Linked DNA regions of Macaca mulatta. The protein of the gene in region 1 purifies or fractionates together with the protein of each later gene. This does not show direct contact. Links are inferred from orthologs where the notes say so. Each region holds a gene or a part of one and is shown in the gene's direction. Other genes may lie near its edges.

Region 1 (3,816 bases):
ACTCCTGTAATAATCACTTCCTTGTGAGTTTTTTTTAGTTTTATTATCGAAATATGCATCTTGACACAAGTTTAGTGTTGCCCACTTAACATATTTGATGTCTTTTAGTCTACTTAATCCATGGATTCTCCTTCTATCCCCTTCTATGCCTTACTGATTATCTATGAAGAAACTGAGCTGTTCCACCTATAGAATTTCGCAGTCTGGATTTTGTTGATGGTACACTCAGGATGCAGTTCAGCACATTCCTCTATGCTCTGCATTTCCTCAAAATTGCCAGTTGGATCCAGAGACTTGAGATTCAGGTTCTGATTCAGGTTCAGTCCTTTTGGCAAGACCATAGGAAGCATGCAATGCCCGACTGTCTCTTCATGACGTTAACAGTCATTAGTATATAATGCATATATCTATTAATCTGTTGGGGGCTATACATGGTATTAGTCTAATTTTATTACCTTTTCATTTAAAAGTTAGAATACTTTTATACATGATGCTACCTCTTATCTATTATTGGTTGCTGTTCACATAGTTTACAAAGTAAAATCAGGACAAATGCTTCTTTCTCCTTATTTGCCAGTTTTCATTTATAATAAATTGTTTCTCTGTCATTCTCCAAAGTTGGCAGATTCTTTTTTTAAAAATAATATCATTATGAATGTATGGATTAAATAATTGATGTGTTTCAGTCTCTTGCAATCATTATCATAATTGTAGTATTGCTTTTTAGGCAACCCTGGTGCCCAGGCTATACATTTGTCCTGGGGAGTGGGGAGGGAGAGAAACAGCATGAGCACCATGAGACCGAGACTGTCCCTGGCAGCCGGTATCCTGGCAACACTGTTCACACCTGCTCTCTGGGTGGATCTTGGGAAAGCCCCACTTGGTGGAGCCCATTCCTGCTGCCCTTTTCCAGCTGGTTCTCTGTCACTCTCCTTTTCTTCCCAGGTTTGGCCGGAAGAATGTGCTGTTCGTGACCATGGGCATGCAGACAGGCTTCAGCTTCCTGCAGATCTTCTCAAAAAACTTTGAGATGTTTGTCATGCTGTTTGTCCTTGTAGGCATGGGCCAGATCTCCAACTATGTGGCAGCATTTGTCCTGGGTATGGCCATCAGGTTGGAGTTGAGTACTTGATCCTGTATTTCACCATCATCCCATCACCCCCACCTTTCTGGAGACAGCTGTGATGTCCCACAAGGGGGACAGGGTTTTTAACAAAACCAGCCAGAGCTTCCTGGTGAACCGTACTTACAGGCAGGGAAACTGAGCCAGACATGTGACCAGCCTGGGGTCCCCAGTAGCACAATGGCCTGACTTCTGATTTCCAGTTCTTTTCTGGCCTCTGGGCTATGGCTCCATGGTCTTAGTACTTGATGGCCAATTTACTAGGACTCACCAGAGATCCTCCATTTACAAAAAGGGCCTGCCACTGCACAGGGCTGAGCCAGCCCAGGAAAGAGGGCGGCATGGTTGGTGGAGGAGGGGCCGTGACTGGCAAGCTCACCAAGGTAGAGAAGCCCTTGTCTGCAGAGCACTATGGCTGGTGATATCTATGGACAAGAATAAATTGATAGGAATGGGCTTTCGTCACCTTCAGGGTTTTAATTCAGAGTGCACACTGCAGGGCTTTGTCTCAAATGTGCCAGCCTGTTGTCACTGAGAAGCTGCAGGCCAGCCTGTGTTTGGAGGAACCTGACTCTAGCTGATAAGGCCTTTGAGTTCCTTGGGTTGTATTGTTGAAAGGATTGTTTTTTCTTTTCATATTTAATATTCTCTTTCCTTGAGGCTTAAGCCAACATGTGCTGGCTTAGTAATGACTTCACTTTTAATAAATTCTTCCTCATGTGAGGATTAAAGGGGGCCTACCATGGCATCTTTAGCATGTGGCTTCAGAACATGGTGAAATTTTCAAGAGAGAACTGTTGCTAGGGGGCCTGAGAGGCCACAGGGATGCAGCCCCAGGAGATGGTCAGATAGGAGGGGTTCAGAACGCTATCCGCTCCCTAGCACCAGGAACTTAGAGACAGTTCTGGCTGTTTTCTTATCTGCGTATTCACACAGATACTATAAAAAAATTAATAAAGAAGTAATCCAAATTAAACTGCTAACTCGACCTCCCTTGTTTTGAACAGGAACAGAAATTCTTGGCAAGTCAGTTCGTATAATATTCTCTACGTTAGGAGTATGCATATTTTATGCATTTGGCTACATGGTGCTCCCACTGTTTGCTTACTTCATCCGAGACTGGCGAATACTGCTGGTGGCACTGACGATGCCAGGGGTGCTGTGCGTGGCACTCTGGTGGTGAGTGTGACCCTGTGCCCCGTGTGCCCACTGGCAGGATGATTTCTGTCTGGCCTTCACTAGAGGGCAGCAACAACCCATGAATCCCTATTTTGTCTCCTAGAGACAGGAAGCATAGATGATTTATAAATTATTTCAGAATGTTTTCTCCACACTCAAAGAGCCAAAGCAAAACAGAATCCCATGATGGCAACAGACTTGCTCTCAGCCCTGTACTGGGTTGCCCCAAGTGCAGGGAGAAGTAGCAGTAGCTATGAGAAGATGGGGTCCAGCATGACCTGGAGGAAGTTTCCAAGCCTCAGGGCAGGACAGTGTAGGCCCTAGTTCTGGCTGTGTGCTGCTGAAGCCTCATGCCACAGGCACTGGCACCAAAAGCAAGAGTCCTCAGGGTAGCCACGTGGAGGAAGCCAGGCTCCTTCTGCACCACCAAGGTAGAGGAGTTGAACAGGCAGAGAAGAGGCCATTCCCGACCAAGAGGGGAACACAGCAGAGGAGCTAAGGTGGGAATCACCCCTTGCAGGTGGAGAAGGTGAGATCACCAGCCCACGTGGAGCAGAGAGCATTTCAGGGCATAGTGGGAGAGTAAGCCACACATCACGGGGCCCAGTCATGACCAAGGGTGGGGGGCGGCTACCTGGTCCCAGCAAGATGGAAAATAATATCCATAGAGCACCTTGATAAGCATGCTAATTTTTTTTTCTTTTTTCTTTTCTTTTCTTTCTTTTTTTTTGAGACAAAGTCTCTGTCTGTCGCCCAGGCTGGAGTGCAGTGGCGTGATTTCCACTTACTGCAACCTCTGCCTCCCCAGTTCAAGCGATTCTCATGTCTCAGCCTCCCGAGTAGCTGGGACTACAGGTGCCTGCCACCACACCTGGATCATTTTTTTGTATTTTTTTGTAGAGACAGGTTTCACCATGTTGGCCAGGCTGGTCTCAAACTCCTAGCCTCAAATGATCCACCTGCCTCTAAAGTGCTTGGATTATAGGAGTGAACCACTGCACCTGGCCAAACATGCTATTTTAGGTAGAGTATCTGACAAGTGTGTTGGATAAATCAGGGGTAGGGTGAGGAGAGAAGAGAAGCTAAGAGGCTAGGGCAGAAGCTTCTGTTGGTGTCAGGGACAGGGAGGAAAGTGTAGCAGGGCCTGGGCTGGCCTAGACATGCACAGAAGCCCAGCTTCCGGAGCCCATCTTGCACCCATCTCCTCAGCCCAGCAGGTGGCACCAGTGCTCTTCAGAAATGGAGGTGGCCAGCCAGCATTGGGTTGCTGTCAGAGGGTGCAAGGCTCTCACATTTTTGTGCAGTGTGGTGTACACAAAAGCTCATCCACCCCAGGTTATTGCTGTGTGTGGATCAGCTCTTTGCTTCTGGCTTGTGAACACCAAACATTCCACAAGCTCTGGTTCTGCAACCCCATTCCCTCCTATGGCTGTGCTCTGCCTGGTCTGTGGGTCTACTGTTGGCAGGGAGGCCTCACTGAGATCACCCTTTGTACTGCCAGGTTCATCCCTGAG
Region 2 (3,313 bases), on another chromosome or scaffold:
CTACAGGCACCCGCCACCATGCCCAGCTAATTTTATGTATCTTTCATAGAGACGAGGTTTCACCATATTGGCCAAGCTGGCCCCTAACTGCCGACCTTGTAATCTGCCCGCCTCAGCCTCCCAAAGTGCTGGGATTACAGGTGTGAGCCACCGCGCTCAGCCTGCCTGTCTTGTCTTTTTTTTTTTTTTTTTGAGACGGAGTCTCGCTTTGTGGTCCAGGCTGGAGTGCAGTGGCCGGATCTCAGCTCACTGCAAGCTCCGCCTCCCGGGTTTACGCCATTCTCCTGCCTCAGCCTCCCGAGTAGCTGGGACTACAGGCACCCGCCACCTCGCCCGGCTAGTTTTTTGTATTTTTTAGTAGAGACGGGGTTTCACCGTGTTAGCCAGGATGGTCTCGATCTCCTGACCTCGTGATCCGCCCGTCTCGGCCTCCCAAAGTGCTGGGATTACAGGCTTGAGCCACCGCGCCCGGCCTGCCTGTCTTTTCAAGGGGAGGGGGCAGATGGATACATGGTTAGGCTCTCCATCAAGGCCCAGCAGGGCTGAGTTCTCCATATAGCTGCTGTTTCAGTCAGCTAAGTTTCAGAGGGTTGTCCTTCCTGGAAGTTAATTTTAGAGGCAAGGAAATGATTTCCTTATTCCCTATCTGTCTTTACTACCCTGTTCTACCCTGTCATCCGACATGTCCTCTAGGCCAGGCCCCATTCCCTGGAGTTAGAGATGAATAAAATTCAGGCCGTGCCCTCCAGAACCTCATGGCCTCGGGCTGCCTCTGCTTTAATCTCTCCTCTCCTTTCCCAGGCTCCTGGAGTCCATGATCCCTATCAAGATGGTCAACTTCCCCCAGGTGAATAGGGGGTGGCACGTCTGGAGAGTGGGGGGAAGCACCAGGGCAGAGGGTGGGACCACCAGGCAAATCCTGGGAAGCCATAAACAGACGAGCTGTTGTACCCTCCAGCCTGAATGACTTGGTATATTGACAGAAAATTGCAGGTGAACTCTATGGACCTCTCATGCTGGTCTTCACACTGGTTGCCATCCTACTCCACGGGATGAAGACGTCTGACACTATTATCGTAAGCAGGACAGACAACTTTGGGGGGGTGGCTGCACTAGGTTGAAAGCTGCCTGAGGATGCGGTGGTGGAGTGAGACAGGAACCGCCCCTGCGGAAGGCCCTAGGTGAGGCTGAGATCAGAGGCCTCCTAGGACTAAGTAGAGCCTTCACCCCACAGCGGGAGGGCACCCTGATGGGCACAGCCATTGGCACCTGCTTCGGCTACTGGCTGGGAGTCTCATCCTTCATTTACTTCCTCGCCTACCTGTGCAACGCCCAGATCACCATGCTGCAGATGTTGGCACTGCTGGTAAGGAGCCAGGCGTGGTGGGCAAGAGTGATGTTAAAAAGAGTAGCCAGGCCTTGGTCTGCATCTGTCCTGGGGCCCCGAAGCCTGGAATGGGAGGAGTAGGCCAATGGACCGTGTGTTTCCCACGGTCCCCATGAGAGGCCAGAAACCAGCCCAACCTGAGTGATTCCCCTCTCCACCATCCTCCTTCCCAGGGCTATGGCCTCTTTGGGCACTGCATTGTCCTGTTCATCACCTATAATATCCATCTTCACGCCCTCTTCTACCTCTTCTGGCTTTTGGTGGGTGGACTGTCCACACTGCGCATGGTAAGCTGGGCAAGAGGCTTCCAGGGGTGGGCTGTCCTCCCAGGGAGTTGGGGAAGACAGCCTGGAGCTGTCCATCTCACAAAGAGCCCTAAATGGGAGGGAAGGGCCCAAAGATGGTTCTGCCCTGGGTGGGAGTGTCTTCCCCACTCCTCACTTTGGAGCCAGGCCCTTTGAGCTGTATTCTCATGGCCCTAGGTAGCAGTGTTGGTGTCTCGGACCGTGGGCCCCACACAGCGGCTGCTCCTCTGTGGCACCCTGGCCGCCCTACACATGCTCTTCCTGCTCTATCTGCATTTTGCCTACCACAAAGTGGTAGAGGGTAAGTGGCAGGAAGGCCTGGGTGGGGGAGAATGGGACAGCAGCTGCCTAGGGCAAGAAGCTGGATATCATGGTCAGTGGGCTGGGCCCATCTGACCCTTGCTCACCTTCCATCTTCCTTCCAGGGATCCTGGACACACTGGAGGGCCCCAACATCCCGCCCATTCAGAGGGTCCCCAGAGACATCCCTGCCGTGCTCGCTGCTGCTCGGCTTCCCACCACCATCCTCAACGCCACAGCCAAAGCTGTTGCGGTGACCCTGCAGTCACACTGACTCCACCTGAAATTCTTGGCCAGTCCTCTTTCCCACAGCTGGAGAGAGGAGGAAGACTATTAAAGGACAGTCCTGATGACATATTTCTTAGATGGGGTCTGCAGCTGCCACTGAGCTGCAGCTGCGTTAAGTACCTCCTTGATGCCTGTTGGCACTTCTGAAGGGCACAAGGCCAAGAACTCCTGGCCAGGACTGCAAGGCTCTGCAGCCAGTGCAGAAAATGGGCCAGCTCCTCTGAGACCCCTCACCACCTACCCCTTCCTTCCTCTTTATCTCTCCCACACTGTCTTGCTAAATATAGACTTGGTAATTAAAATGTTGATTGAAGTCTGGAACTGCAGCGGCTGATCCAGTGGTCCTCCCTGTCATCCCACTTACTATATACTTTCATGCTCAATCAGCAGTGGTAATGTCGTATGTTCCCTTTTTCATATCCTCACCCAGACAGGATAAAGGTGGGACAGGCCAGACTACATAGAAGGCAGTGCTTGAATATGGAACCTACCCCTGAGGGCAGGGGACACCTGACCCATGAAGCGGCAGGGAGGCCTCAAGCACAAAAGCCATAAGCCTGATGGAACACTGCAGCCAGCTTGAGTCTGGGCTCAGCTGCACTCTTGGGAAGCCAAGGAAGCAGTGACAATTGGACAAAACATCCCGACTTAAACCCCGTGTCAAAACAAGGATCTTCTGCTCCTGGGCATTGTGGGGATAATTTTCCTGTGGAGCTCATAATTGAAGCCAAACTTGGCTTTGCCCTGGTGGTACTGGGGCCAGCTCCTTTCAGTTTTTCTGTCTTTCCTCATAAAACCAACCACCACTCCTAACATAGCACCATCCACCCCCCGCACCACCACCTCTTTAGTCTGCTCCACTTAATTCTGGTGGCTAAAAGAGGGAATACGGCCTTTGACCTTCCTTCACTATATTGAATATTATGTTTTATGTACAATAATCTCCTTACACTAGTAAATCTGGGTCAGCAGCCTCTATCCCTCCTAACAAAGGGACTAACAGAAAGAGGTGCCCTTCATTTGTCCTGCGTTA

What was found.
Region 2: the proteins of SLC22A5 (region 1) and YIPF3 purify together in Homo sapiens (co-immunoprecipitation; 3 studies listed by BioGRID and IntAct, counting the BioPlex papers as one, with this or other methods). This does not show direct contact. The link is inferred for Macaca mulatta from reciprocal best matches to the Homo sapiens genes SLC22A5 and YIPF3.

The regions. Positions count from the first base shown.
Region 1 is NC_133411.1:141,294,210-141,298,025, forward strand, and holds part of SLC22A5 (organic cation/carnitine transporter 2), read left to right. Parts: intron 1-945; coding exon 946-1,100; intron 1,101-2,130; coding exon 2,131-2,302; intron 2,303-3,803; coding exon 3,804-3,816. UniProt on the Homo sapiens protein: Sodium-ion dependent, high affinity carnitine transporter. Involved in the active cellular uptake of carnitine. Transports one sodium ion with one molecule of carnitine.
Region 2 is NC_133409.1:138,606,531-138,609,843, forward strand, and holds the end of YIPF3 (protein YIPF3), read left to right. Parts: intron 1-801; coding exon 802-847; intron 848-983; coding exon 984-1,076; intron 1,077-1,234; coding exon 1,235-1,366; intron 1,367-1,560; coding exon 1,561-1,674; intron 1,675-1,869; coding exon 1,870-1,993; intron 1,994-2,117; coding exon 2,118-2,266; 3' UTR 2,267-2,609; downstream 2,610-3,313. UniProt on the Homo sapiens protein: Involved in the maintenance of the Golgi structure. May play a role in hematopoiesis.